2 linked regions of the Neurospora crassa OR74A genome follow. The protein of the gene in region 1 interacts with the protein of each later gene in a pairwise test. Links are inferred from orthologs where the notes say so. Each region holds a gene or a part of one and is shown in the gene's direction. Other genes may lie near its edges. The genes, in order: NCU03028 and NCU03630.

Region 1 (15,910 bases):
TTTTGTCCAATTTTTGGTTTCCGGAATGAAACCGAATGGTATCTCATTGGAAAATCCACGGCCACGTGTGGGAGGCGGGCTCGGTGGGATAAATTGGATAACAGAATATCGTCTTTGATTGGAGGCAGACGGGAGAGCATCGAGACATGTAGGGACCAAGACACCCAATATGCGCTAAAAAGCTTGCCCGGAAATTCTCCTATCACTAGTGTACTACCCGCTGTTAGATGAGGGAGCGTTGGGCAACATGCCAGGTCCTACAGGGTGAGAAATAGTTTTTTTTTTTTTTTTTTTTTCTCGAGAATTGCTTCCTGTCCAGCAGTCTATCCATAACAAGAAAAAAATCCTATACAACTCTGCCATGTCGCTTACCCCTCTGATTTGGTATATCCTTTTGCAGCAAAGCAACTCCTCGTCACTTGTGGGCACTGCAATATGAATGGTTGAAACCGAACTCCTAAACACGAATACTTCCGAACTGTGTGGAAAACATACCAGAAAGCAGATGAGAGAGATAGAAAGGGCGCCTCAACAAACGAAAAAAACAATACCAAAGACAAAAGAAGAAGAGACGAAGCGAGAAAACAAGAGGGAACAAAATGCGAACATGGTATCTCTAGAAAACACGAAAAAAAAAAAAAAAAAAAAAAAAAAAAAAAAAAAAAAAAAAAAAAAAAAAAAAAAAAAGACTGTATACTCGTTACAAGGGTTGTCCTTTTGAAGTCGATGATCAACGCTCCATCCATCAACGGGCGAGCTTGGTGTTATGCAAAGAATCGAGCGCCACGACTTCGATGCCCAAAAAGGTACCAAGGTGTCATTCGTGGTAGAGCGACGCATGCAGAGACGCCAACCGAAATGGCGTCCAATGACAGAAGTCAGCCACACTTCGCTGAACAACTAAGGCCATGCAGAGCCTCGGGACGACCACATTAGCGAGCAAGGGGGGGCTCTAGACTACAGTGGCTGTATGTGTTTCAGCTCACGCTGTTGTCATGACACTCAAGAGCTATGCAGTGTTCGGAAACCCGCCGCAATTAAGCTCCGTTTACTGTCTTTGACATCTGATGGTGCGCTCGAGTAAAAGAGACCCTGGATGAGAAAAACATCAGCCATATGCCTTTAGACTGGAGAACGGCTCATCAAGCCGAGTGTCTTGGAGGGAAAAGGATGGTACTCTGTGGGAGCAGTGGCCAATAAAAGATCGGGAACTGTGGGAGCAACTTACACCGAGTCCCTTTTGCTTACAAAAAGTGGCCTTGGCCTTCACTGTATCCGGATTATCGTAAGTGACGAACCCACCGTCTCCGCCCACACACTGGGCGGCAACGGCCCGCTTGTCAACTTGTTCCTTCGTTCCTCGTCGTGGTAGCTGACAATACTCGAAGGATCCGTCGTCGCCGCCCCCGGCACCCTGGAATTTGTGGCCTGAGCCGCTCGCGTGAAGAAAGCTGCGTCCAAAGAGAGGGATTCCAAACAAGATTTTCTTGCCCGGGACAGCGGAAGCCATCAGATATTGCACACTCGACGCCCCTGATGCTTCTTCTTTATTCATTGCATAAAGCTGGGAGTGATGCCCACTTCGGTGTGACCAAGACCCAAAATAGTCGTACGCCATCAAGTTAATGGAGTCCAAGTATTCAGCTGCCTGCCGCACATTGATATTCTGCAAGATGGACTTGGCCCCAGGGAGAGCAGCGGTGAGCAGGTAACGGTCCTCGGGAAGATGGACGCGGACTGCGGCCAGTAAAGATACGAAATCACTTCCTTGTTGCGGGGAGCAGGGGTAGTCCCATACAACTGGTGCTGTCAGTCAAACATCTCAACAAGATCATTGGGGATTTGTACATGTGTGACGAGGCAAGAGTGGCTGAGCCTTCTCACGCGTACGTGGTCATTGGCTACGATATTGGACGAGGCGAGATGAGGCGAAGGGAAAGGAGCCGTACTGTCTATTCCATCCAGGCCGGATGCTTCCACCAGACCGCGAGCGGACTGTGCAAAGTTGTTACGGAGAATGGCGCTGGAAGCCACCAGTGCGAATGTCTCACTGGAAGCGCCACCCCCAATGGATAAGACCACTTGCAGATGGGGATATTTCTGCTTGAGATGCATCAAGGACCCGAGAGCCCCTTGGACACCGTCACAAGGCGCTGTGACATCTGCCCACTCATCGCTGAGCTACCAGAACAAGTCAGCTGAAGTGCTTAACGATGGAAGATGGCGTCGGAACAAACTTACAAACACCCCTCCGTCTGCCATGATGTTGGCAAAGGCATAGTAAACACGGTTGATGCATCCGTAGTTGAGTGAACCGGGAGTGTCACCTCGGTACACGCTGTGATTCGGCCAATATACGGCATTGTTGTAGAGAACGTTGGCCGCGCTTGTGATGCGCGACTTGCGAGAAACGGAGGGGAAGCTCATGGTCAATGCGGACTCTTCTACGCGTGATGATCAAGACCAGGTAGCGATCGAGGGTTCGGGCAGGAGACGATGGAGGAGACGGATGGAGAACCCTCAAAACATGGAGAAGCGGACACGACCATGGCGCTCATTTATGAATACAAGAACTAGGGAAAAAGTACCGGAAACTTGATGAATGAGGCTTGTGCCAGCTCATTTTTGTTGGACCGATGTGTTTGAGATGCTGCTGGTCGGGCAGCAAGAACGGAAGAAGAGTGGCAGATTGCCCTGTTGTGCGTCTATATAACTAGGTACCCTTCTTCTGCTGGGACAGCTGGTTCCCAGACCTTGGGGTTCATGGGACGGTGAGCAAACCAAACAGACAACTTACCCATGGCAGTGGAGCAACGCGGACACCCGAGTTGGCTCAACGATCGGAAGTCGCAAGCCCTAGTTGCTGCATGACATGACGTTGTCTGCGAGGGTGTATCGAGGAAAGGAAAGGATAAGCGGTACCTCTATGGGCACGCCAGAGATGCACCGCTGCGTATCCACCAGACCAGTGAAGCACTTTACGAAAAGAGTGGGAAAAATGTAACGAGGATGCAGGCGGCTAACACTGAAGGTTCCAATGAGATGTAGAAGTCGGTGACCGGAATCTTTTGTGGTGGTTGGGTCGTAGTTAAGATTTCCTAGGGCTGACTTTTCCCGTCTAATTTCATGCCATTTTCACTGTCAACAGATCCTTGACCTGTGGCATCGGGAGACCTTGCCTTGACTCGGCCATTGGGCTTCAGTTTGCAAAACTAATCTGCATCTGGAGTCAATCCTGAAGGGCTTTACATAAGTCCACGTCCTTGCAAGTTGCAGGCTTGAGCTCGCAGGTGATGATTTTTGGTGATTTTCGCCCAACAAATTCTAAACCTGGATTGTGCTGAGCAGGGGCATATGGTAACTACCCTCTGTGTCATGGTCATCCTCGTATGTGGATATGGTCAACTTCGGCCTGTTCTCCGGAGAACCCACCCCCGGATGTAGCACTCGCCAGCGGGAAAAGCAAATTTCCTGGATAGACTTGCGGGGCCCTCCCATGATCTCGGAATGGAAACTCGAGGGTCCATGAGATGGGGCACCCGGCTGGCTCGCACTTGTCATGTGTGAGGCGCGTATGGACAAAGATTCCGAAGAAACGAGGTGGCCGGTTGACGTCCGAGGGTGCTGGTGACTGGTTATTTGGTACACAGAAGGGGTTTTCGGAAGTTTTTACGGCATCAGCCTGCGACTATTCCAAACCTGGCCGTCGATTGTCGATCTATTAGCTGGGATCATGCGGTTGGGAAGACTGTGCTCCACGGCCATCGTGGGGAAGTTGGAAGCTTGATCTATTTTGAAGGAAGCGAACCTAGTGGAAGCCATCGAGTGAGAGCTGGGTGCAAGGTTGAAGTGAGTGAAGCCTGACTTTGAGGCCCATCTGGGCGGGGAAGTTTGACACAGGCCAATCTCCCCGCCCCAAGACAAAGAATTGAAATTGGAGAGCGACTTTTCATGGTGGCTTGGTCATAGCCCTGAAAGCCTGAAAGGGCAGGCGCGATGACATGATTGCGATCGTGGCATCCGTTCAATTCCTCGCGCTGGAAGGAGTGAACAGCACAAAGGTGACGACCAGGGTTAGAGGGGTGAGTTTGTCAAATGCGCCCAGTGTAAGTAGAGGTACTTACCCTTAAGTATATTGCATCCGTCTTGTTGCTCAAGTTACCTCTACTGCTACTGGGCGGGTACCTCTCCTCCCTGTCTCGTTGCCACGTTCCTGGCCGTTGTGCAATGTCTCGACAACGGATCTTACGAGATGAGACACCCATCAGAGGCTAAGCTGAAGTAGGGGTATCTGCTCGAATTTGATGGCATTGCTGTTTCGAGAAATTATTAGTATTTTGGCGCCGGTTGAACGATGACGAGGAAGCCCGATTTGGACTGGAATGATGCAATGTCCTAAAACACACGGCCCAAGCAGTGTCTTCCACATGGCAGTTCCGAAGGGACCCTTCCCTAATTTAGTCATCACTGCCCGGGCAGTAGAGGTAAAAGCCCCTGTCGTCAGTGAGGATTTTGTTAGAGTACAGCTAATAGCGTCCCTGTACCTAACCCTGCCACTGGCCAGCTCCAATTGGGCTTCTGTGCCTGCGATTTTCTACCACGTCAAGCAGCAGGGCATCATGAATACAGGCAGTAGGAACCTCAACCTCACACCCTCGGGCAACCTACCTCGACACAGCAAACACAACGCCTCCCTGCGTGTCCGACACTTGGTCTCAGCGCCTCAACCTCCGATCTCTTTCTTTGTGTGCCCCCACGAAATCGATGTCCTCGCCATGTTATGACGTGTTCCACGCCGCTCCTAAAACCCGAGTCACTTACACAAGGCTGCTGTTGATGCAGGTGCCCAATTCAACGCAAGTATTGGATACGGACAGCATTGCTTAATTCCATCCGCTTCGTGCCTGGCCACTTCTTGGCTCACTAGAGGACTCATCATGCAGTCAACTCAACAAATTTAAGCACACCCGCCGGCGTCCGGCAACCAGCCTGAAATGGCCTGCTGTCGGCTGTCTAGCTTCAACCGTGGAGAGCTGTCATGTGTTCCTTCAGTCAGTGCAGCAACATGGCTGGAAACCCCCTTGTTCGGAGACAGAAAGTTGCACGCGACCTCTTGGTACTTGATGCTGCACCTCCAGTTGCACAACCGCCAGTCGTGCCATGGTCGCTCTTCTCAGCTGGTCGGTATTTCTCCGATGCGCCCTGCCCCGAACCGCGAGTGGTTGTCATAGAAGTTCAAGAGCAGGAGTCCTCGAAGAGTGCCTCGTATGTCCATATGATGACTCCTATTGCGTCCAATTTCTCATGTGGCTTGCCGGCATGGGAAAAAGACCATCTGTAGCTGAAAGACATGCAGCGGGCGGGACCTTCCATGAAAACTGCAGTTTGAGACATTGCTAACGAGCGAGGAAGATTCCATTAGATCCTTGGGATCCTGGTGTCGTCTGTCGATAAGTTTCGGTCCAACGTGGCAGCACAGCCTTTCCTCAACGAAGCCCGGGATTGGATCTCTTCGAGGCCCAGAACCGGAAGGTTGCATTTCACGAGATCGATTCAGGCAGCGCCTGTCCGCTGAATCCCGTATACAACAACCCACATGACCGGCGTCGCACGCGTAGCAGCTCTACCTTGACGGGCCATCTCTTGGGAAAGCGCTGATCTCCTCCTCAGTCCATGCCCTTGCCCACGCCAACTCCACTTCAGACGGACGAACGAAGAAGAATCCTCATCAACGTGAGGGCACTCGCTGCTAGTGCGTCGACATCTCGCATTGACGGACAGCCTATCATAGTGTAATAGTTCCATGATCTCAAAGGTTTGTGGAAGACAATGGTCGCTTAAGCACGTCGTATCCTTGCTTGGCCCGCAGCAAGAAGAACTGCCTAGGCGGTATGCTCTAAAGTGCGGTTAGAGATGTGTCTTGATGTACACCAAGGCTACACCAAGGCGGTGAAGGAGCAGATGCTCGATATCCTTGATACACTTACCTGGAGTATCCTGGCATGGTCCACGGACCATGCACTCTGAGCTGTACATACCTGTCTGGTATAGTCCATATGTTCTACCTCCTAGTTCGCTGAGGTTGACGCGACGGCCCATATAATGCCGCCATAACAACAAACGCTACTGATCAACCGAAAACGTGAGTAGTTTGCGAATACGATTTTGTTGTGCAGGTTTGACGGAAGACATCAACGAAAGATTATTCTCGCCAAACCGGCTATCGGCTGAGGGTCACTGAACCTTCAAGAATGCTGATTGCGCATCAAAGTAGGAGGTTTGATGCGTTGAGTTTCTTTCATCCACCAGAATAAAAGTGTAGGCAGAAGCGATGAAGTGTCTGCCATCTGAAGAAAGTTTGTTCAAAACCAGAGAAGGGAAGAGGTTTAGGTTTGTCAAGGGAAAGAGTGAGACGATTCGCCCTCGTCCATTAGTTTAGAAGGTACATGGATTTGGTTCGAAGCAGCAGCTAATCGACAGTACCCTGTCATCACACACATGCGATAACAAAAGCTACTGGACAAGCTGATAAGATGGGGGGAACCGGTCAGGTGTCAGGTCATGTGGATGCCGAGAGCCCGATAGAACCTCAAAGAAGCGGATGGGTGTGAGAGCAGGAGAGTACTATCAAGGTGTCGCAGCTGACTGGAACTAGTAGGTGACAAGATAGTGGCTCACCATCTATATGGCACGCAGAAGTTGCAATCAGGCACCGTTCGTATCATCCATCGATTCCATGTAGTATGTATACCTATGTATACGCCTAGTGACCGGCGTTCGTTACGTCGAGGCCCTGTGGGAAAGCTGAAGTAGGGTACTAAGGTACTGTAACATGCACTTGGTAGGTAGGGTTAGGGATGGAGTCGTGTTCAACGACAGAAGTGAAGCCTAAAAAGGCAAGAACCTCGGTGAACACTACACTACCTAGTATACCTTAATGACGGCTTGTAGTGGGGTCTGCTGCCTGCCGTGGAGGGGCTCTTAATGCCATGCCACCCACCTGCCACTGTTGGCGGCAGCGCTTATCGGCCTCCGCCTGTGACCTTCCAACATTACAACAACTCAATTACTTTGGTTCCCAACACAACCCTTTTCCGTAGCATCACCATTCCTCAACTTTCACCAGCACACGAAGCTATCGTAATTCCATACGAACGACTTTGCAGCAGGCTTTCACATAATCCCATCACAAAGTGCTGAACTCGAACGTGGGGCGATCGGAGCTCCCCTGAGACCAACGTCATCATCCACGACCGCCATTAACCGTTTCATTGCCGAATCGTAAAGCGATAGAAATCATGGCTGAGGCTTCAAATACTGGCGGCGATGGCCAGATTACCTTCAAAGTAAAATGCTCAGGCGACAAGAACCACACAGTCACCATTGCCGAGTCTGCGACCGTCCTTCAGCTCAAGACCCTGTTAGCGGGGGAGGAATACGAGAACATCTCGCCGGAGCAGCAACGCCTCATCTACTCCGGAAAGGTCATGAAGGACGATGAAGTTCTTAGTTTCTACAAGATCAAGCACATGAACACAGTGCACATGGTTAAGCGTCCAGCCAGCGCCGCGACAGCCAGCAGTGGCTCAACCTCGACACCCGCTCAGCCCGCGATACCTCAGAACATGGCTGCCGGCACTCCCTCGAATAACCTTTTAGCTGGCCTCACAGGCGCTCGCTTTGCCGGTCAGGTGCCGCTACCAAGCCGAGACCTGTTTGGGCCGGACGGAGGAGTACGCCACCCCTTTCTCGGCCCCCTGGACCCTTAACATAGCTGTTTACTAATGATGTTTTATAGATGGGCGCGCCTCCTAGCGAGGATGAAATCGCGAACATGCTCTCGAACCCAGCGATGGCCCAGGTCATGGCCGAGGCGTTCAACAACCCCGCCGTCATCGACCAGATGATTGCCTCCAACCCGATGTTGGCCAACATGCCCGCTGATCGCGCTCGCGAGCTTCTCAACTCTCCGATGATGCGCAACATGATGACGAACCCGGAGGCACTTCGCATGGCGGCACGCATGCGTAGGATGATGGGCGGAGGCGCCAACGCCTTTCCAGCGCCCGGGGTAACGGACAACACTCCGAACGCGACGACCGGTGCCGGTAATAACAACGCCAATGCCGATGCGCAGAACCCGTTCGCCATGTTTCTTCCATTTGGTGTTCCTCCGGCGGGCGCTCCCCCAGCAGGTAATCCCTTTGCCGCGCTCTTTGGAAACCCCGCGGGGTCTTCGCCTGCGTCTACCGGAGCTTCGACCGAGAGTGCCAGGAGCGGGGATGCCGCATCTGCTCCGGCTACTGGCGCCACTTCGGGGTCTGGGCAGCAAGCAGATCCGTTGGCATCTTTGTTCGGAGCGCTTGGAGGTGCTGGTCAGCCTGGTCAGGCTGGTGCCGCGAACCCTTTTGGTTTGCCCCCTATCTCGCCTGAGGCCTTGCAGCAGATGATGCAGGCATTTGGTGGCGGTGGTTTGGGTGGTTTTGGCGGAAATCCCGTTGCTCCTCCCGACAACAGGCCGCCAGAGGAGAGGTATGCTGAGCAGCTGCGTCAACTCAACGATATGGGTTTCTTCGATTTTGATCGGAACGTTGCTGCACTACGCCGCAGCGGTGGTAGCGTACAGGGTGCTATCGAACATCTTCTGGGCGGTTCTTAACTTAAATTTCTTTACTAGACGGTGCAGAGATGTGGACCGGAGATTGACAGTTATCTGCTGTTCCTCAAGGATACGGCGGTATTCACAATGAACGACAGAATGTCGAGGGGATAGTGGATTGAAGGATGTCCAGGGAGTGCAGTGTTATCTCCTGGCGAGGTCATTGTTGGGCCGTGCTAGATATATTTTAATCAAATATCTAGCGATAATGGTTGCTCAGGAGGACGATAGACAGTCCAGCACAGAGACGATGCTCAAAACAACACCCCTTCAGCGGGTGTCCTCACGTAAGGAGGTTTACATGTTTACAGTTTAGCGATCTTTATCAAACATGTCTCCTCTTGCTTGAATCAACAAGGTTCTTTTGTCCTCTAAGAAGACGAGTTCGCATACAGTAGCCGGGCTAACTATCAACACCACTAATCAACTCTTATTTGCATGCTATCATTCCCTCTACCGATAAAGCACCGTCAAATCCCCAGCCGGCACCGGAAAGTTCCTCAATTTATCCATAATCTCCGCGTCCGTCATGTTCCTCTCCGTCATGATCTGATCAAAACAATGTCGTCCATCCATATACTTTTGCAACGGATCCCCACTAGCCTTCATCATCATCGCCATCTTCTTGCTGTTCGACCCCTTCCCCCCCGGACCCCCATGACTCCCGGGTTCACGATAGGTATCATAATGTCCGCCCGGCACCGCCACTTTATGTTCCCTCCCCATTTCCCCTTCGCCATACCCCCTCCCACTTTTCCCTTTGCCTGTGCCAGTTCCGGTGTCGGATGGCGAAACAGGTCTAGCCAACCCCGTAGCTAGCGCAGCCAGATACTGTTTCGAGATAACATACTTGTGCACCCTGTACAAACACCCCTTGATGACGCCAAATTGAACTAAGCGGCGAACGTCCACGTACCGTAGGACGTCGAAGCCGGAATCCATATGGCCCTTGAGCCATTCGGCCACGGTTTTGCCGACGCAGAAGGTAGTCATTAGGCGGATTAGCATGTAGTTGGATATGCGGTATCCGTTGGGTGGTGGGGGCTTGTTAGACGGTGGGGAGGAGGAGGAGTGGATGTTGGAGGAAGGGTTGCGGGGGGAGGTGGAGGGCTTTCGTTCGTGGACGGGGGAGAGGTGGTGTTGGGCGTAAGGGCTGGGATCGCGGTCGGAACCACCTCCTGGGCCAAGGCCAAAGGGGGAGAGGTGGCTGTGGCGTGTGCTGGCAGAGGTGGAGAGGTTGGAGGGATTGTGGTTGTGGAAAGTGGTGCTTCCTGACACAGAACGGAGACGGTGGTAGTTGTCGGAGGAAGAAGAAGAAGAAGAAGGTCCGGCGCCGGTGCCGGTGTTGTTGCTGCTGCTGGGAGACGGATCGATAGGTCCGACGCAGACGTAGTTAGCACATTCGTCGACCATGCCGCCTACGTTGGCGATGAAGTCGTGGATGCCCGGGCGAGGGGCGTAGCACGCGCCGAACAAGAACATGTCTAGGAGCAGGATAGTGTCGTAGTAGAGCAAGTGGCGGAGGGCGAGCTGGGTCAGCTCGAGGGAGACGCCGGAGGCCAGAGCAATGCGGCGCACGTCGGAAACGCCATCGATATGAGCGACGACGCGCTGCAGGGTTAGATCCCAGGTTGGGTCGACGACGTCGGCGAACTTCATCTTGGCGACGGGGACGTGCCAGCCTTTGACTTCAGGGGGGTTGACGTGGTGAGGAAAGAGTTTCATGTTGATTGTGTTAGCGTCGTCTGTTTTGAAACGGTCAGCATTTTTTGTAACTAAGGTGATGAAGGGGGGTGAATAGGTAGGGAGATATACCAATGGGAATCATGCACTCTCCATAGTTATTCAGATCCTCCTTCACAATCTCCAGCAACGATTCTATCGGCCGCCGCATACTCACCATTTCATTCCCGTCCCCATCCACCCAACGGCCCCCGCCATTGCCATACCCATGAACCGCGACCGCTCCGCCCCTCGTGGCCGCGTCCTGGCTCAGGTAGCCGTCCTGCTTCTCCATCTCGGCAAAGGTGGCCGCCAGCCTCCTTACGACGCGTTCATAGGGGATCTGGTCCACCACATCGCAACTGATGACGAGCCCAAAGTTGAAAATGAACTCGTTCCGGTCGTACCGCGGGTCCGGAATGGAGACGGGGTATCCCAGGATGACGTACTTGCCGTCCGGGTCATTGACGGTGATGAAGCGGTTGCAGAAGGCCTTGCGCGGGATGATGTACTCCTGGAGCACGCTGAAGTCGAAGAGACATGGTTTCCTGTTGAGGGGACCATTGGTGCCTTCTGGAAGTGGAACTGGCACGATTGAGCCCGGTGGACTTTGTGCGACGATTTTGGTTCCTGAGTTAGGGAAAAGTGCCACTGGTTAGCTTGAGATTCACTACACTTCGTCTTTGGGCTGTCTTGGCCAGACCCAATAAAAATGGGTGGGCAAATGACTTTGATGAGTGACGGGCAAGGCAGGCTATATGTACCCTCTTTTGGAAAGAACCTGGCATAGAAGATTGCTTGAATCATGATTTAAATGATTGTTGTCGAAACCCAGGGTCTTCTTGGTGTTGGGAAAAGCGACTTTGGATTTGACGCCGAGACGAGTAATATGGTCTCATCGGATGTTACCGGCGCTCATTTCTATCGGTTGGTTCTACCGAGTAGCGTATAGATGTCATCCGAATCTGAAGTAGAATGAAATTGCTTTTGAGAACAATGATCAGACACTTTGCAAACCAAAGATGACGTTAGCATAGTAGTCGTCGCCGTGGTCGGTTTGCCAGAAGTTGTCACGTATTGTGTTTTGTCTTGGGAAAGGTGCCTTGGTGCTACGAGGTCAATGGCTGCTAGTGTGTACCTCACATATAACCCTAACCCCTCCCACAAAAACAGAGAACACATAACCCCTTTTCGACTTCAGCATCGGAGGACCCAGGAATGAACGCTAACTATCCGTGTATTTCAAAATGTTTGCTTGAGAAACATCATGATCATTCTGGAAATACCATATTGTCGTTTGTGTTTTTCATATTGCGGGGCTCCACGGTATTGACTATGATGTCCAAAAATCGGGTATTCTCATGCTTCTATCTTACAAAATATGTATGGGGAGTAACGCTTTTGTCCAACCAATCCAACCTTTATGCCTTTTCTCTGTGCCACCCTACCATGCGAATAGAATCTTACACATTCTCTACCACTTATACGGATCCCTATCATCTTGAGTCTGCTTCTTCACCCCATCTCCCCGCACAGAGGGTTTTTCGTCCATCATGCCATCAATCGTTTTTACTGAGGCAATCATCTCCTGCTTAAGCTTGGTCTCCATATCCTTCTTTTGCCTGCTCTTTTCCTCAGGGAAGATAATCTGCTGGCCCTGCTGCTTCTCCTGCGAACTCTTTTGCAGCTCGTTCACAGCATTCTTAGCCTCTTCAGGGGTCAACTTCTTCTCTTTGAGGTTCTTCATAATCTCATTCAGTTTCCTGACAGCGCCGGTAAAGCTCTGTCCGGGGTACGTCTGGCCCGAAGCAGCATACTCGACGTCGCTGACCATCTGGATTACACGCACGTTGTGCTTGCCCTTGCGGAGGATTAGCAGGTTGCCGTTAATCAGGTAGCGCTGGGTCTCGCCGGGGAACCACAGCTTGACGGGCATAAAAGAGATGAGGTCCGGGTTCATGGTGACGTTCTCGCCGCCGGCTCTGTGGGCTCCGCCGACGTAGCAGCCCTGGGCAGCCGCGAGCTTGTGGCCCTCGGTGGTGCTGCTGGCGAGACCGGCGGCGTAGAGGATGCGGCCGATAGACTTGCCCATGATGAGCGACTCGGGGAGAATCATGTCGATACGGGGCGCGTTGTTGAGGGTGACAGGCTGATCTGAAATCGTCTTGTACTGATCGCCACCGGTGGCTGCGTCCTTGGCACGAGAGACTTGGGGAATGGTCATCTGGCCGGTATACATCATACGATGCTGGTCCTCGGCGGCGCTGGCCTCCTGTTTACCGTGCACCAGCGTCACAACCTCACGCGCAAGGGTATGTTGCGCGACACGCTTGCTAGGGTCTTTGATGTGCTCCTCCATAGTCTTGGTGATTTCGCTGATGGGCATGAAAGTGAAGAGCTTGAGGAGATTCTCAACCTCTTGGTCGGACCGGCGGACAAAGTAACCATAGAAATCGAAGACGGAGGTCTGATAGGGGTCAAGCCAAATGGCGTTACCCGCACTCTTACCAAACTTGGCACCGGATGAATCGGTCAAGAGAGGGACGGTGAAGCCGACGCATTCGTCAAGGGCAGTCTTGGGCGTAACATATTTGCGCTCCTGCGGGTCGGGCTCGGATTCTCGGGCGGCCTTGACGACCTCGAGACCAGATATGATGTTGCCGTACTGATCAGAACCTCCAATCTGCATCTGAACTCCCTGCTGGTAGAACAACTCGAACCAATCCCAGCCCTGCATGATGGGGTAGGTGAACTCGGCAAAAGACACGCCGTCTCCCTGGGTCATCTTGTTCTTGACGGTATCGCGCGACAGCATGGGGCCGATGCGCAAGGCGTGACCTACCCTCCTCAGGACCTCGAGCATGGGCTGCTTGTTCCACCAATGGTTGTTGTTGACGATGCCTCGCTTCCGCGCCCAATCGGCTTCGTAACCACGCGCTCGCATCTGAGTGTCCACGTTCTCCCACAGCTTTTTGAGTTGGTAGTGAATCTTAGTCATGTTCATTGTCGCATCGCTGCTGCTCAAATGATCTCTGCTTTTTAGCCTGCCAGTCGGGTCTCCAATCTTTGCCGTCGAGCCTCCAATGAGGGTGAATGCCTTGTATCCTTCCAAGTACATCCAAAAGAGCGGCATCAGGGGGAGTAGATGGCCGACGTGTAATGATGGTGCGGTAGGATCGATGCCGACATATGCCCCAATCCGCCTCGTCCTCATAAGCTCGGCGATGTGCTCTTTGGTGCTGGTAGAAGAATCGTGTTAGTCATGTTCCTGTGCGCATCGAAAGGCCAGTTGTCTAAACTTACCCAGCTGTATCCTTGACATAGCCTCTCTCCTCAAACAGGTCCCATGTATTCTGCTTCTTGCCCTTCTTGATGGCCTCTGCCCTCGCCTGCCAGTTTTCCTCGGCCTCATTGATCTTGGCCGTGTACTTTGGTCCGAATTCGCGCCTGAGTCCTCTTCGTTGGAGAATGAAGCATGATGGGTTAGCCGCAGCATACTTGGCGATACTCCCGCCGGAGCGTATTAGGGCTTTTGTGCGAAGCAGCATTTGATGTGATGTTTGGCTGCGTATCGCTCAACGGCTAGAAGAAGGAAGGAGAGGGAACTGGGCGCAATCCGTAGCGCAACCCGAAGCGCCGATTCCGGCCCTCTTTTTGCGATCCGATCAACCGGAATTGGGTCCCTTGCTGGGCAATTGCAAGAGTTTGGTTATGGTTCCAAGGGCGCGGTAGTAGATTGGTCGGGATGCCCAGGCGGTACAGTAGGGTTTCCGGCTGAAGATCCGGGGTCGCGTGGTGTGAGCGGATCAGTCGACTGGTGTTGAGGTAGGTTGGGAGTGTACAAGCGGCGATGATAGCTTCGGCCAGTCATTAAGGTACCGGCGAACTACGGCGCCATCGAAAAAAAATAATGGCCCCTCGTCCCAACCCGGGTGCAGCGAAGGTCTCGATAGGTATCTTATCGCCCCAACTAACGCGCTGCCGTACCTATCATTACGCGCTAGCATCTCCGACTGCGAAATAATTTCTGGAACGGCGGAGGGGAGCTTGGGCCACCCCTGTTCTTGCCGGGTCGGGTTTGGCGGGGGGACAGGGCCCTTGGATTGCATGTGCAACCCACTGGATGCAGCAAGATCCGGTACGTAGTGAGAGGTACCAATCTCAAAGCTACGGCCACGCCGGGAACAATGGGATTTTCCACGCCGAGCCACGACCGGCACACGCTGCCGCTGACATCTTCTATGCTGCGATTGGCCGAGTATTGCCGAGGGATAAGCTACATCAGGACTCGCAGCTCGGCACCAGTCCGTTCCACTCCGGAGCCCGCCCGTCCCGTCACTCCCAGCGCTCCTAGCGATCCACGGCCACGATCCTGTCCTGAACCAACCGAAAGACCCGTGCGACGATATCTCCTGCGAAGACCGCCCTCCCGTTCTCGAAAGTCCAATTGGTTGTCCGCCATCACCACCACGCTTCGACCACATCACCACCCAACACCCGTCATCACCACCACAATCACCAGAAACAATGGCTTCCGTCGCCCGTTCCTCTGCCCTCCTCAAGCAGGTTGCGGCCCAGCAGTCCGTTGCTGCCAACGGTCTCCGTGTTGCCGCCTTCCACACCACCTCCCGCAAGAGCTTGCTCCCCCCTCCTCCTCGTACGTAATCGCATACACGCACACTCGGACCTTAATACAGGTTCAACGTATGTTGCATGGATCGGTATTTGTGCTAACACTATGAGGGGGACAGAGCGCATTGAGGGTACAGGTACGAACAACAACCCAACAGCTATGCTTCCTTGCCCGTCATGAACCAAACAACCCCCATGCCGGGTTGCGAAAAGCGCATCCACCACGACACCTCGACATCACATGCATGCAAACAATAGCCTAACACCTACCTTTAGTGAACGACCCCGTCGAGGTCCCCCCTCCCTCTCCTTCTCATGGCTCCTACCACTGGACTTTCGACCGTGTTGTCGCCGCCGGTCTCATTCCCTTGACCGTCGCTCCCTTCGCCGCCGGCTCTCTCAACCCCACCATGGACGCCGTCCTCGCCGCCACCATCCTTATCCACTCCCACACTGGCTTCGGCAACATCATTGTCGACTACGTTCCCTCGAAGCGCGTCCCCAAGGCCCGCAAGGTCTTTACCTGGGGCCTTAACGCCGCCACCGTCCTCGTTGGCCTTGCCCTTTACGAGTTCGAGACCACCGATGTCGGTCTTACTGAGACCATCAAGCGCGTCTGGAAGGCTTGAGCGACTCTTTGCGACAGTTATCGTTGCGAGGACCGGTTGGAAAGATGAGGGCTGTTTGATATGCATTGGGAACTACCGAAACTCCTAAGGCCTCCTACTTTTTTTTGGATGGAGCAAAGGCCGGAATGACGGGAATAGGTGAGGGAGGGCACCTTCAAGAGGAACAGAAAGGGGTGGAAGAAGTTCTGTTTTGTCATACCTCACGGCGTAAAAAGAATATACCTTTCTCTTTTGTCTCCATGCGGCCTTCTTTTTTTTCTGCGCTGTT
Region 2 (14,596 bases), on another chromosome or scaffold:
GAGGATTTACGAGACAATGATAATAGAGACCGGACGGAAAGAGGGGGTTAGCATAACGGACGCTGGAGTTTTATCCGCTTTTATTTTGCAATTGGTTTGTGTTTGTTTTTGAATCACTCCCCTCAAAGACATTGGCAGCCGGTAAAAGACGGCTGGAACATGAAGCGGCGACAGAAGGATATTCTGATTCCGTCTGGCCCCAAACCTGGTCCTTCCCTATTCGTCTTGACGGCCGCCAATGAAAATGGGAACCTGGGATCCGAAGAAGCAAGAGCATGAGCAGAAAGGTCGCTACCTTATTGGTGTGGCAGACTAAAGAGCGTTGAAGGGCGAAGGGCCGGCATGTTTGTTCTACACGCCCGGTCCTCCTTGTGTAGCCAACAAGGTCAGGCCGAAGAAGGTTACGAAGAAGAAGAGGAAGAGAACGATGACGAGAGGGGTACTCCTTCTTGTGAGGCAAATTCTGGAGAGTTTCGGTGGTTCAAGCGGCTGTGGTTGCGGGATGGTTGACTGCTTACGCATAACCTGTCTCTTGCTAAGTAGGACAGCAGACGGAGAATTAGAGTGACTTGCAACGAACATTATTTTTCTTCTCTCTCCTTTTCCTTTTGTTTATTTGATAAAATAGAAACAGTAACGAACAACCATGACAAATGCCACTCTGATAGAGTGCTTGTCTTGTAGTATGTACTGCTGGCTTCGGACCAGGCATCTACCGATTGATATATTCAAGCGTGGAAAGTTCTATAGCGATCATGCCTTATATAGCTCTGCTCATCCGGCCTTTCACGTTACTTTTCACCTACTCTTCACCTCCTCTTTAGCTTCTCTTAGCGTTGCTCCTCTTCAGATCTCCTCCACCCCTCAATTCAGGTCCCCTTCACTTCTCTCTTCATTTCTCCTTCGCTTTATCTTCACTTGTCTTTTTACCTTCTGCCCCTTTGACCCTATTAACTCTCCCCCCCTCGTTGATCCTCATTCCTGAGTCCTCCTCTTCACCCCCTCCCTCTCACACCACTCCTGATCACTCATCCTAAACCAATCCGCCACGCACATCATGCCCGCCCACAAATCGCACTGAATCGCCAAATGCACCATCTCCAGTGCCAACGCGTTGAACATCCTCCCCAGCGAAAACGCATCCATGAACCCCAAGCCGTGAAACGCCATGTCCAGCGTCGCCCCTTCAAGCCCCATGCGCCGCGCCATATACGGCCTCGCCAGCCCCAACAACGCCAAGCTCTCAAACGGCGTCATCATCGCCCTCGCAGCACAAAGTCCTAACGCGCCCGCGGCGAGGACGTGTGGCAGGCGCGTGAGGCCGTTGTCTCTGTAGAGAGGGGCGTCCAAACCCAAGCTGCTGCTATTATTGGTTTGTGTTTGTTGCGAGTTACGGTTCGAGCCAGCAGAGGTATCAGGCACGTTAGGCCTCAGCTCGGCGGCCCAAACTGCTGCGCCGGGAGGGATGGGCGCGGAGTCGCTGGTGGCGGAGTCGCTGGTGTCGACGTCAAAGGTGATTAGAGTGGGGTTGACGTGCTCGGTTTCTTCGTCGTCGTCGCTGAGGAAAGGGGCTTCGTCGGCTGTTGCTGCTGGGGATTGAGATTGGGATTGGTTTGTGTTCGAGGTGGATCCGTTGGGACCGCCGGGAGTGCCGGGACCGGGACCGCTGACGGAGATGATGCTTTGGCGGCGGCGGGTACCATCGGGTGGAGGACCGGTAGGGAGGGCGTCGTTGGTTGGAAGGGTGTCCGAGGGGGCGTGGACCATTTCCCAGCCTGCTTCGATTGCGTTTGCGCTTGGGGCTTGTTGTTGCTGCTGTTGTGTTGGTGTCGGTGTTCGTGGCTGAGTTTCTTGTCGCTGTTGCTGCTCTTCTGGTGTGGGTGTGGGAGGGATGTATGTTCCACTGGGCGGTTGTAAATAGGGGACTACCTCCTTAAGAGTCCTCCTCCTGCTGAAGTTGATGGGTTTGGGCAAGCGTCGTTGGATTTTCCGCCTAAGTGACCAGACGAGCCGGGCGTATGTCTTTGAAAAGAACCAGTAGCCGGCAAAAGGGGCGATACCGGCGACAAAGGCGCCGAGCCAGCTGATGATGCTTCCAGGGGTAAAGGAGGATGGGAGTTTTGGTAGGAAGATTGGGGAGTCATTGCAGCCTGGAATGAAGAAACCAAGGGTGGGAACCCATCTCGAGGTGTTCACAAGGCCGGTTCGTTGCATGAAGACGAAGATCTCTAGGTGTAAGTTGACCCAGGAGAACACGTACTTGACCCATGGGTATTCTGGCATGTCGAATCCAGCAAAACTATCGCTCAGGACATACGATGGCAGCCCGGCCCAGAGGTACTCTCCCCATGACTGCTGGCGCCTGTGAAAGTGAAATAGACGAGAAAAGGGAACATGGGCGTAGTCCTTGTACAGCAAGATACGCTGCCTCAAGCCGTTGACTCCCCAGACTCCGACGGTGGCCAAGACCTCGCCGGTGAGGAACAGCTTCCTCCCAATTCCATCTTCGTAGTACTGGTGCTTGGTGGCGGCTTCGTATAGAGCTTGGGCCTCGTTGATGCCACTGTCCGGTTCGGCAACGCCGATGACCAGCATAACCTCGTTGTGAGAGCGGATGATGTCTCTGTTGATGCGCCGTGTCTCTGGATTCACTGGTCGTCCTCGGTCATCATACAACTGCTCTGGGGCCCCGGGTTGGGGCTCGCCAGTGCCCTCAACTACCTCATCGTAGGGAGACCGGCCCTGTCCTTAGTGTCAGAACGAAGTTGTAGCCCGAAAGTCTTGCAACGATGACTTACAAGGGCCTGTGATGTCAGTGGGCCCAACCGCATCGTGAAAGGGTCAACTGGATTCAGGAGGTGTTTGTAGATTACTATCCGGCATTGCCAAGATGTTTATGTGTACATTACACGGTGAAATTTGACCAGTCAGTGGCCATCCTCGTGTAACAAACTAGGTCCTGTGCCAGAGATTGTGTTATGGTGAAGATAGTGGTGGTATAGCTGATGAGTGATGGAGACTGGAACAGACAGTTGACGTTGGTGGGGGCGATTGGGGAGCACAGAAAGCCGAGGGAGGGTCATGCTCCAGTTGCTCCAGTGCTCCAGCGTGGTTCGTCACGGATTCCTACAGGGGTTGGATCTGCATGGCGCTAAGATAACCTTATTGCCTGGCCTTATCAGCGGGCGGCAGGCAGCGACCCGCGAAAAGTTTTTGGGATTGGGGACTTTGCAGTGTACCACCCTACACTTGACGTTCTAACAGCAGAACCCCAAAGGCGGCGGCGCGCAATCGCAACCCTCCTTGCCTCTCTGTTTGATTTAATCCACTTGTACAGCCAGACACTCCGTCACCACAATGGCGTACAGGCAAACCACCACCAAGACGACCTTCGAGGTCAACAATGTCATCCAGCCCATTTTCACAGGAGGTTCCGTAGCCCTCGACAATGGCGCTAGGATCCTCGCGACCACCCTCGGCGAGCAGGCCGTCCTCACAGAGCTCAACACCGGCAAGCAGCTCGCCGAGATCGAGGGCGACGGAGAGCCCATCTCGACCCTCACCATCACCCCTTCGGCCTCCCACCTGATTGTCTGCTCTCGTTCTCTTACTATGCGCATATACTCCCTCAAGGTCTCACCAGATTACGATTCCATCGAAGCCACCCTTGTACGCACCACGAAGCCCCACGCCACCCCCGTCGTGGTTCTCGCGGTCGACCGAACTAGCACCCTTCTTGCCACCGGTGCTGCCGACGGCGCCATCAAGATCTGGGACATTGTCGGAGGATACGTTACCCATACCGTTAGCGGCCCGAGTGTCCTTATTTCTGCCCTCCACTTCTTCGAGATTGCCGCTCTCGAGGACCAAGCCAGCAACAAGAACAAGAAGAACAGGCGAAAGAGCACAGCCGAGGAGGAGCAAGCTCAGGATGACAGCGTCGCTTCAAAGTTCCGTCTTGCCTACGGCACACAGGACGGCAAGATCCGCATCTTTGACCTCAGCAAACGCAAGACCTACCCCGTTTACGCCGACCCGACTTCGAGGAGAGAAGCGCACGAGTCCAACGTACAAAGCCTTGACTACTCACCAGAACTACATGCCCTTCTCAGCGGTAGCAGAGATAAGACAATGACAGTATGGCTGTGGAAGGAGGGGACATGGAGGGGAACACCCATGTTGCGCCATGAAGGCGTTGAAGCTGTCGGCTTCCTCAACAACGGAAGCTTGATGTATTCGGCTGGAACAAGTGGCCTACTTAGGCTATGGGACACAACCACACACCAAGAAATCACAGCAAAGCAAGACGCCAAGTCGGAAGCCGAGTCGATAGTGTCAGCCCTTGCTCTTCCCCACAAGAACCTTGTTGTTTGCGCCCAGTCTGACTTCACCCTCGCCCTCTACCGCACACCTTCGGTCGCCGATGCCACCAAGAAGTCGACGAAGCCTCTGGAACCCTTCAGGCGCATCTCGGGAACACACGACGAAATTCTCGACCTTGTTTACCTTTTGCCCGATCAGTCTCTCATGGCTCTTGCAACCAACTCCGAAGATATCAGACTTGTATCCGTGGCGGATAAGCAGCCCCAGCTGGGCGACGAGGAGGAGGGCGCGGCATACTTTGGCCATGACGTAGCTCTACTCAAGGGACACGAGGATATTGTCATGTCTCTCGATGTAGACTGGTCTGGCCACTGGGTTGCTAGTGGTGCCAAGGATAACACAGCTCGCCTCTGGAGGGTTGACCCAGCCAATAACTCGTTCGAGTGCTATGCAGTCTTCACTGGCCACATCGAGTCTGTCGGCGCTGTCGCACTCCCCAAGATCGTACCTCCCGAGAACTCGGAGGCGTTCAAGAACCCCCTCGACCACCCGCCCGCATTCCTCATTTCCGGTTCCCAGGATCGGTTCGTTCAGAAGCGTGACATTCCCCGAACATCACAAAAGGGAGCCGTCTCAACCAGTCTCCGTCGCTTAGCCCACGAGAAGGATATCAACGCTCTCGACATCAGCCCCAACGGAAAGCTTTTTGCCTCGGCATCACAAGACAAGACGGTCAAGATCTGGGATTCCGCAACATTAGAAGTCGTAGGTATCCTCAAGGGTCACCGCAGGGGTGTCTGGACGGTTCGGTTCGCGCCTCAGGGCATGCCTGCCATTCAAGGCGAGACCGGCACTGCTGTTTCCGGTAAGGGTGTAATCTTGACGGGTTCTGGTGACAAGACCATCAAGCTCTGGAACCTCTCGGACTACACCTGTCTGCGCACATTCGAGGGCCACTCCCATAACGTCCTCAAGGTTGTTTGGCTGCGCCTTCCCAAGGCCGCTGACGACGCTGAAGACGAGGCTGCTGCTGCCGCCTCCAAGGCCAAGCAGCGCATCCAGTTCGCCTCTGCGGGCGCCGACTCCCTCGTCAAGGTCTGGGACGCCAACCTTGGTGAGACCGAGTGCACGCTCGATAACCACGAAGACCGTCTCTGGACGCTCACGGTGCACCCCAAGACCAATATGCTTGTGTCTGGTGGTTCCGACTCCCGCGTAACCTTCTGGAAGGACACTTCGGCTGAGACCCATGCCGCCGCGTCCTCGGCCGCCCTCAAGCTCGTCGAGCAGGAGCAGCAGCTCGAGAACTACATCCACGCCGGCGCCTACCGTGACGCTATCATTCTGGCGCTGCAGCTCAACCACCCCGGTCGTCTCCTGGGTATCTTCACTAACGTGGTCACTACCAACGCCCCCGAAGAGGGCTCTCTCTGCGGTATCAAGGCCGTCGATCAGGTGCTTGGTAACCTCTCCGACGAGCAGATTTTCCTGCTCCTGCTGAGGCTGCGCGACTGGAACACCAATGCGCGCACGGCGCCCGTGGCGCAGCGCATCCTCTGGGCGCTCGTCCGACTCTACCCTGCCAACAAGTTCTCCAACCTGTCGGTCAAGGGCGCAAGGGGACAGAAGAGTCTGAAGGAGGTGCTCAACGCGTTGAGGGTGTATACTGAGAGGCACTATAAGCGCATAGAAGAGCTGGTGGATGAAAGTTACCTTGTTGAGTATACTTTGCAGGAAATGGACAGTCTGGCACCGCCGGCGATTGAGGAGAGGGATGGGGATCTGGTTATGGCTGATGCATAGATTTTTGCCTTGAAATTTTGGAAGCATAACGAACGGCTGGGAAAAGTAGCAGTGGATTTTTTGTGAAATGGGATGAAATAATGTGATACCAAGTTTGAAACACATACACGTATAGACCGAATGCTAGTGTCCCGTTTGCCGATTGTGTGATTGTTGATGAAGTTTTCTTTCTTGTGAGAAGCCCATTCCTAAATCTATTTCATGCCTCGCCCTGGGTATCAATAATGCGTGTGTAGCGTCAGCCATGTACCATAATGGCCGATTCCTTTGGTAACGTTTCTCGTTGCGTCGTCGACCCCATAGTTTAACTCACCATGCCTCGAGCACGTTCAAGGCTTCAAGGCTTGTCTATCATGGTGGCTCTCCGCTATTTCTGTTTCCCACTCCTCGTCTTCTCTTTAACTTTGGCTGCCTTGAGGTGATCCACACAATCCTTGATCACAGACTGAAGGTCACTGTTCCGCCTAGCAAGTAGAAGCACGTCATCTGTGGTAACGGTGGTACGCCCAGCATGTTGGCTGAAGGTTTCCAAATCGATGGCGACGTTTTCTGATGTCCACAAGTTAGTAACCGCCAAACAACTTGCGCTGAGAAAAGACGTACCAATCTGAGTCCACACAAGCTCGGTGAGAGCTCCGATGAACTGAGGAGTGGCATTCATGTTGCGACGGAGCGACTCATCGTCGACCATCTTGCCAATAGCGAACCACAGGGCTGATTTGAGACGCTTCTCTTGTTCAGTATTTGAGGTTAGAGCTCGCGGAGAGAAAAATCATCAACACACTTACCTCCTGAACATCTTCACCCGAGGCGTCGGCCATTTTGGATTATGTAAGTGATACTTACACTTACACAATTCTCATGCATCCCCGTCCGTTTAAACGATGTTCGGCTGGGGGGGACGCGTTGAGCGCGTCGGTAGTGGGGTAACCCTACGGCTGGCATTTGCTGTAAAGTGGATTACGTAATGCGGCTCTAGTCCCACTAAGGTGAGTGCCTGCCAAGGGGCACGCTCAGTGGGGCATCTGGGTGTATCCACATCGGCGCCGGTGGGGTTCCCCGAACGAAGTTGATGTAACCTGTACGTATCAGTCAAGTCCATTCCCGTGCCGTCGGCGTCCCGAGTGGACGTTTCTCGCGCAGATGGATTATGGAGCACACCAGCCCGTCCGCAAGTTCGCAAGTGCCGTGTCCGTTCAACACTTTTTTTTCCTCCCTTCTCCTTTTCACAACGACTCTAGACTCTTCTTCTTCTTCTCTCTTTCCTCCTCAACTCCGGCAATCTCGGGATCCTTCTTTGTAATACTTTTTGAATTAGGCTTCTTTCTTCCTTTCGTACTTAATCAGTCGACAGCGAAACCTTTTCATCCGGTGTTTCCTCAAGACTTGACCTCTGCCTACCGTGTTGTCGCAAAAGCATCTCCCACCGCCCTTTGCGCAAAGAAGCCCGAAGACAACCACCACATAACAACCAAATCCCGCACGAACAAAACCGACCAAGATGGACGGAATAGCCAATGTTGTGACGGTCCTGGGTGATCGTATCACCAACAATGTCAAGGGCACCTTCGCCAACATGACGGCGGAGAAGTGGATTCGCCTGATCATCATTGTCGGAGCTTGTGAGTTGCAACATCATTTTCTTCAAGAGCGCAATGCGCAAAACCAATTCAAGTAGAACAGCAGCTGACAATGCGCCATCATAGACGCCCTGTTGCGCCCCTACATCATCAAGCTCGGCGGAAAGGCGCAGATGAAGAAGCACGAAGAAGAATCCGCTGAAGCCCTCAGGGGCACCATTTCCCCCAACGAGCTGCGCGGACAAAAAGCCATGGTCCGTCTTCCTGGTGAGGACAGCGACTCGGAAGACGACGAGGCGCAAAACGGAGAGTCTTCGGCGGCGGACTGGGGCAAGAAGGCCCGCAAGAGGCAGCGCATGGTCATCAAGAAGCTCATTGAGGCCGAGGAGGACAAACTGCGGGAGAGCAAGGAGGAAGAGGAGGATAAGGATATTGAGGAGTTCCTACTTAAGGACTAGAAAAAAGAACTGGGTTCGGGTTTGGGTATGACTGACGTTGGATGATATTATACATTAAAGTATGGATGACGACGACGAATACATAATAATCAAATAATAATGCATTTACGAGACAAGCCATCTGATGGGGTGACAACTTCTGCTTACATGTGAGAAGGCTAAAGAAACTGTGTTGCGGGAAAGGTGGGACCTTGCAACCTGCATTCTGTGAGTGAAGCATGGCTTGGCCTGCAGCCAGAGAGAAGGCAGAACGAGTTCATTAGGACCCACTTCTACGTCCTTTTAACATTCACTCACCTTCCACTTGACTTTCTTAAACCAGGACACCTTACACACCTCAACCTCCAAACCTCATCCAAACCTCACTTTCGACGCGCAGCTTGAATATTGCTACCTCAGCGAAACCTACCTATGATAACGACAGATAATCGCTAGACAGTATCTACCTATATATCAGTCACTCGACCTAGCGCGGACTCTTGCTTCACCACCGGTGAAGTCGTCAAAACAGCTTCACCACCATCAATCAGCGTCATCGAAGCACATCAGCGAGACTCACCCACCAGCGAAGCGGCCTTGTCATCGCCCATTCTTTGCCACATCAGCCACCAGAACCAAATACACTTCTTCACACCACAGCTCCAAGATGGCGACTATCTCAAAAGACGAAGCCATCATCCGCTCCTCTGGCGAAGGTACGCCCACTCCCTCACCCATGAGTTCCTACCATCCTCTCACCTCACCTCACCTCACCTCACCCAAACTAACTCCTTTTGCCCCTCAGCCGCCCGCGCCTTCACAGACTGGTACTACACCCAACTCACCGACGGCAAACCCGTTTCCTCCTGCTACGTCAACACCAACGCCAAGTACCTCGCCGCCTCGCACCCGCCCGCCGACATCTGCATCAACGGCCAAGTCGTCGCCACGCCCGAAGAGTGGGACGCCCTTCTCGAGCAACAGCGCCTCATCACTTTTACCCAGCAAAAGGGCAAAGTCAAGTACGAAGTCGAGGGGTTCGACGTGCACGTCATCAACAAGGATTACCGGTTTGCTGCGCCTGCGGAGATCGTGGCGGCTACGGATGCCAAGATGATGCAGAGGACGGAGGATGCGCGGTTGATGATGGTGGTTACCGTGGCTGGGAGTGTGACTTTTGGGGGCAAAGAAAAGGGCACGCCGCCCAAGCAGCATTTTTCGGATGTCTTTGTTTTGGTGCCAAATTGGGATTATGTGACGAGGCCCAAGTTCAAGGGGCATAAGAGGTATTTGGTCGCTAGTCATACTTATAGGGCTTATTAAGGTGGGATAGCTCTGTGTGACGGATGGGGGACACAATGGGAGAAGCGTGAGGTTGTGTGTGAGCGGAGGGGGTATTTGAAGGCATGTATCCGAGGTATTTGTTTCACCGGATTTTCACATCAGCCAAGGGTTTTCTTCAGCGTCTTTTTTTTCTCTCTTTTTATTTACATGAGTTTATGGATTCGGCGTCAGGGAGGGAAAAGAGAAGGATTGTTAGATGGCTACGATCATCCTCGAAGCGGAGCATGTGGGAAGCCAATACCTCTACCACAAAATACATATGGTACCTCGAAAAGCCATCAAGAATGATACACACTACAAATTGTTTTACAGAACAACTACCAAAGCGAGCGGCTTGGGAACCCTCCTCTGTATGAACCAAATTACCCGATGCCCTTTGACCATATGATCGTACTGAGCTACCCTATAACTGCTTTCAATACTCTCGTCCGAACCGTTCGACCAAAACCATCCGTTTCTTGAAAGCCACCCATTTCTTCAAATCAAGCAAACCCACCTAGGCCGCTGCAATTCCCTCCTCAGCCTTTTCAACCTGCTCTCCGGGCGCCTTCTCCGTCTCACTTTGTGTCAAACACTTCCTCCTCCACTCCCAATACCCTCCCCGAATCTTATCCCACTTCTCCGCCAACCTCCTCAAACACAGATCCGCCTTTTCATTCTCTTTCTTCTCCGCATAAATCTCCGCCAACAAATCCAACGCATGCGTACTTTTCACCTCTTCCTCCTCCTCCCCTTCACCCAACTTATTCACAAACTCCTCCACAAACTCCTGCACGCTTGCCAGAGGCTGGCCGCCCTTCACCAACACGCCCCGCATGTAATTCCATGGGCTCTGGTTCTGCGGCGCCAGATACACCTTGTTCTGGGCATACTTCACCTCTCTCTCCACCAGCTCCTGGGGCACCTTTTCATCCTTTTCCGTCGCCGCCTTACCCGGCGTTGCATACTTTGGGTTAGAGAACACCAAAACGAACCGGTGCGACCAAGCACTGTTGTTTCGCACGTCCTCGTCAATCATTTTCTCAATCGACTTCAGTTCTTCCTCGTCCTCCCACATCCCCAGCTTGCCAACCAGCCACGAGCGGTACGACCAGACGTGATAGTTCTTGGTGTCTTCGGACAGGATGGCGATGAGGAAGCCACGTTCTTGTTTGGCGAATTGGGCAAGAGCGTCGGGGTCGGAAGAGATGGTGGGGTAATAGTGCTCAACGAGCAGGTGGCGGTGGTGCCAGATTTGGTAGTTCTTAAGGTTGGCGAGCGCAACTTCATTAAGCCACTCGATCTCGTCCGGGATGGATATGCCCAGGGCGAAGATGTTGGCGGCGCGGTAGAGCCAGACGGTGTAGTGGGCGGGGTTCATGGCGATGATGTGCTCAGTTAGGCGAAGGCAGCGGGGTGAGTACTCCTTTGTGGTCATGACGGCGCGGAGGTAGGACATTGCTATTTTTTTTGACGAGAATCAGCTTTGATCATGACCTGATTGATGGGGAGGGGAAAGAAAGGAAGTGTGTAACATACCCTCAGCATACTCAGCCGGATAAATGATTGCCGCCAGCGCGCCCTCGGGCTCCTCATGCGGAATAGGAACGACATCCTCCCACTCCACGCTCTCAGCCAGCTTCCCCGTGATAGCGCCGTACAGATCCTTCTTGAGCGCAGCCATCTTGCTTCGTCTGACCTTCTCTTCGTCAATCTCTCTTTCCGTAACAATAATCTCCCGTCCGGACCTTGCGTCGACAAACCCTCTCTTCTCACGCTCAACGTTCTCCCGAAATACTCTGCTCGACACTTGGAGCGCTGTCAATGCGATCCGCTTCCTGAATCGCTCGTCGAACCGCTCGATCGTGTAGCTGCCGACGTCGTGGCCGTTCCGATCAGTGCCCCAGGTAGTATGTGGCTTCGGCTTGTGCTTGAGTCCGCGGACGATTGAGTTGGTCCCGTTGACGGTCCACCAGATCTCCTTGGACGCTTTAGGACCGAGGAGGCTTGAGCGGCTGGCTGCGGGCAGGCGGTTGGTCAGATGTAGGAGCTGGTCGCAGATCCAACCTTTCTGGTCTTCTTTGGGGAGTTTGCTAAGTCCTTTCTGCTGACGGGCAGCTTCGAATGGACGGGTCTTTTCGTAACGCTGTTGGCTACGTTCGAGTACGGTAGTAGGTTCTGATGGTTGCGATGCTGTTTGGCTTGTAGTATTGGTCGTGGTGGGATTGGAGGTGGTAGTCGCTGGAGCTTTGACAGGAGAGGACCGCCCTGGTTAGCTACCTTTCCAAGTATTATTGTACCAACAGACGCAAAAGCTGCAAACAGGAACAGGATGAGAAGGACAAATAAGATCTTTCGAGGTCGAGTACCAAAAAAGAAACTTACTTTCGGTTGCTTTGGGCTTTGTGGCCGCTTTACCTTTGGGCGGCATCGTTATGAGGTGGTTGCTAAGGGGGAAATGGTGGGGTCTTAAAGCGGAACGGGGACCTTGCTGAACGCATTGATTTGCAGCGGTCGTCGGATTGCAAACAAAGTGACGAAGGACGTCAGAAACCAGTGGCGCATCAAACAAAACAATCGCAACGTGCAAGTGAGCACAATACTTGCTTGACATGCACGGAATATCATGATCCCCTTGGTAACTGCAAACATCGCTTGCCGCCTCTGTTTTTTTTTTTCTTTTCTTCTTCTTCTCTTGACGTTCCATCTACTTATTCCAGAAAGATGCCGTTGAAGCAGTACCTTGTTACTTCCCCGTCACTTCACCTCTTCATGACCTCATTACCACTAATCTTCTAATATACACCCTCATTAAATAAGTAATATTCATTACGTAGTAATCGTTCCATCTTCGCGTCCAACAAGAATAGAACGCGATATGTACAACTGAAGTGAGGAAGTCTAATCAGGGATCTGCCTCCTGCCAGCTCGTTTTAGGTATCGTGGGGGGGAGAGAGAGACCCTCAACACCAAGATGCCTGTCTGTCATCCCTTGCCTGCACACCGACATGGGGGACTGACTCCATTAACGTCCCAAATCAGCTCAGCCCACACTCTCTAGTCCCGGTTCTCAACCCGCCAGAACTTCCAGCCCTCCCGCTCGCCCCGGTCGCCATGTACACCGACAAGTTTCTCAAGCGCCTCGTTACTGTCCGCACTGAGGAACTTCTCAAGGTCGATCTCCATACCGCCCTCCTCATCCTCGTCCATCCCGTTCTTCAGTACAGCCGGCCAGAGTACGCCAACACCGTCGCTACCTAGTGTTGTCTCGAACTTGGAGTACCCCTCCTCATCCAGGCGCTGCTCCAGCTTATCCAGCTTCTCGCGCGGCACTCCCGGCCGCAGCAGCGTGATCGAGCATCCGCCACCACCCGCACCAGTGAGTTTCGTCCACCCGATACCCTCATGGTCCACGAGCTCGCGCACGCGCTCCAGACGGGGGTGCGACACGCCGAGTGACACCAGTAGGCCGTGGTTGATGGTCATCATCTCGCCCACCTTGCTCAGGCTCTCCTCGTCCTCCGTGTTGAACCCTTGCTCCTCAATGAGCTGTGCAGAGCTTTGCGTGACCTGGTCGATGGCCGTCAAAATGGTGCCCACCAGCTGCGGGTGCTTCTTCTTCAGCGTGGCCACCTTGGCAACCTCGTGCGCCGTTGACTTGGCCGTCCTGGTGTCCACGAGGAGCAGCGGGAGCTTAGGGAAGTCCCACAGGGGGCGCACAGAGGGCGGCTGGTTGTAGTCTGTCCGTTGGAAGACGACCGCCTTGCCCTGTGTTGATACTGTGTTGTCCACGCCCGAGGGGTTGCCGTGAATGAACATCTCGTAAACAAATGCCCACCGGTTGATGCGCTCAATTTGTAGCCTGGCCTCCTCGGGAGGTTGGTCGGGGTGAGGACCGGACAGTGTCCGAAGCTGGAGCAAGAGCGCTGCCGACAAGCATACTGCGATGGTCGCGCTGCTGCCCAGGCCGGCTCCGATGGGAATCGTCGAGCGCAATGTGTACTGGCAGCCGGGGAACGACTGTGAGCCAAGGGAAAGGAACATGTAGAGGAAGGAGCCGGCCGAGTTCTGGTGCACCTTGCGAATGTCGGCGGGCTTGTCTATCGAGACATCGGCGAGGAAAGGTTGTACGGCGTCAACGAGTTCTTGGTCAATCTCGGTGACGAGACTGTAGTAGTACTTCTTTTTCCCTGGTTGTTGGAAGATCTTCCATGGGAGCTCGTCGATATTCCACGAATGATTGAAGTCGATGTCAGGGAATTTCAGCGTAACAGTTCTCTTGGACTTGGAAAGCGTGTTGACGAGCAGGTAAGATCGCAGCGAGATGGCGGCAGCAATCGCAGCCTGGCGAAGAGAGACAACCGTTAGCCTCTGGGAATCATTACCCCCTTTTCCAGCATCACCATGATCTAGGTGCTTGATCGACGTACCTTGCCGTGAACGACTGCGTGCTCTCCAAACACAATGACTTTTCCCGGTGCCGAAACCATGAACGTCGGCATCATGGGACTGGACTTTTTGCGTTCCATTCTCTGTCGTATGGGTGTTAACATGCTGTTGGTAGGAGAGCCCCCGTTGACGGCGCTGCTGGCGCTTTCTTCAATCGTCACTCTGAGACCATTGCTGGGGTTTCCGTTGACGGCCTCGCTCGCATCACCATTTACGGGTTGGTTTCTCTGCTCGGACTCGGAATGGAATCCATTGACTCCGTTGTGTTCTTGCTCTGCCATGGTCAGAGGTGGTTTTCTTTGTGCGTATGTTGTACGTAATCGACCCGAGCGTCCCTCGGTCTGTGTTCGGCGACAACAATACCAACAATGCTAAGCGGGAGGGGCCCTTCGGAGAGGGGCTCAATATACGAATCCGGCGCAATTGGGTGAACCGTGGAATCGCCAACAAGATGATGGCTGAGTACTAGTTCACGTTGAGGTAGAACTGTGCCGAGATGCCGATCTGATGAAGAGCGAGTCGGCGTAAGGCAACCGAAGCTGCCTAAATAGGTAGAGATATGTAATATATCGAAGGCCTAGAGAAATTGGGGGCTCAAGACGACAGATTGGTCCCAAAGCAACTGAGGGTATCGCAGCGTAGGGATGTTGGTAAACAAGCGGGCGAGATGGAGGTTGTTGA

Evidence for each region.
Region 2: the proteins of NCU03028 (region 1) and NCU03630 interact in a two-hybrid assay, tested with the Schizosaccharomyces pombe proteins (2 studies listed by BioGRID). The link is inferred for Neurospora crassa OR74A from reciprocal best matches to the Schizosaccharomyces pombe genes dsk2 and pga2.

What each region holds. Positions count from the first base shown.
Region 1 is NC_026501.1:8,385,885-8,401,794, reverse strand, and holds NCU03028 (deubiquitination-protection protein dph1), read left to right. Parts: upstream 1-7,029; 5' UTR 7,030-7,298; coding exon 7,299-7,733; intron 7,734-7,798; coding exon 7,799-8,659; 3' UTR 8,660-9,112; downstream 9,113-15,910. Other genes in the region: gh18-3 (chitinase), read right to left, coding at 1,003-1,092, 1,229-1,800, 1,950-2,181, 2,242-2,427; NCU03029 (hypothetical protein), read right to left, coding at 9,113-10,404, 10,475-11,011, 11,146-11,188; cyt-18 (tyrosyl-tRNA synthetase), read right to left, coding at 11,856-13,620, 13,685-13,929; tca-13 (succinate dehydrogenase cytochrome b small subunit), read left to right, coding at 14,909-15,038, 15,133-15,150, 15,290-15,642. UniProt on the Schizosaccharomyces pombe protein: Protects ubiquitin chains against dissambly by deubiquitinating enzymes thereby promoting protein degradation.
Region 2 is NC_026505.1:1,892,808-1,907,403, forward strand, and holds NCU03630 (hypothetical protein), read left to right. Parts: upstream 1-7,254; 5' UTR 7,255-7,627; coding exon 7,628-7,748; intron 7,749-7,832; coding exon 7,833-8,164; 3' UTR 8,165-8,282; downstream 8,283-14,596. Other genes in the region: NCU03627 (hypothetical protein), read right to left, coding at 976-2,742, 2,799-2,831; pod-5 (polarity defective-5), read left to right, coding at 3,358-6,126; NCU03629 (hypothetical protein), read right to left, coding at 6,494-6,675, 6,730-6,853, 6,915-6,947; NCU03631 (hypothetical protein), read left to right, coding at 8,811-8,859, 8,949-9,466; NCU03632 (farnesyltransferase/geranylgeranyltransferase type I alpha subunit), read right to left, coding at 9,984-10,927, 11,006-11,713, 11,852-11,897; NCU03633 (mevalonate kinase), read right to left, coding at 12,524-13,810, 13,897-14,196.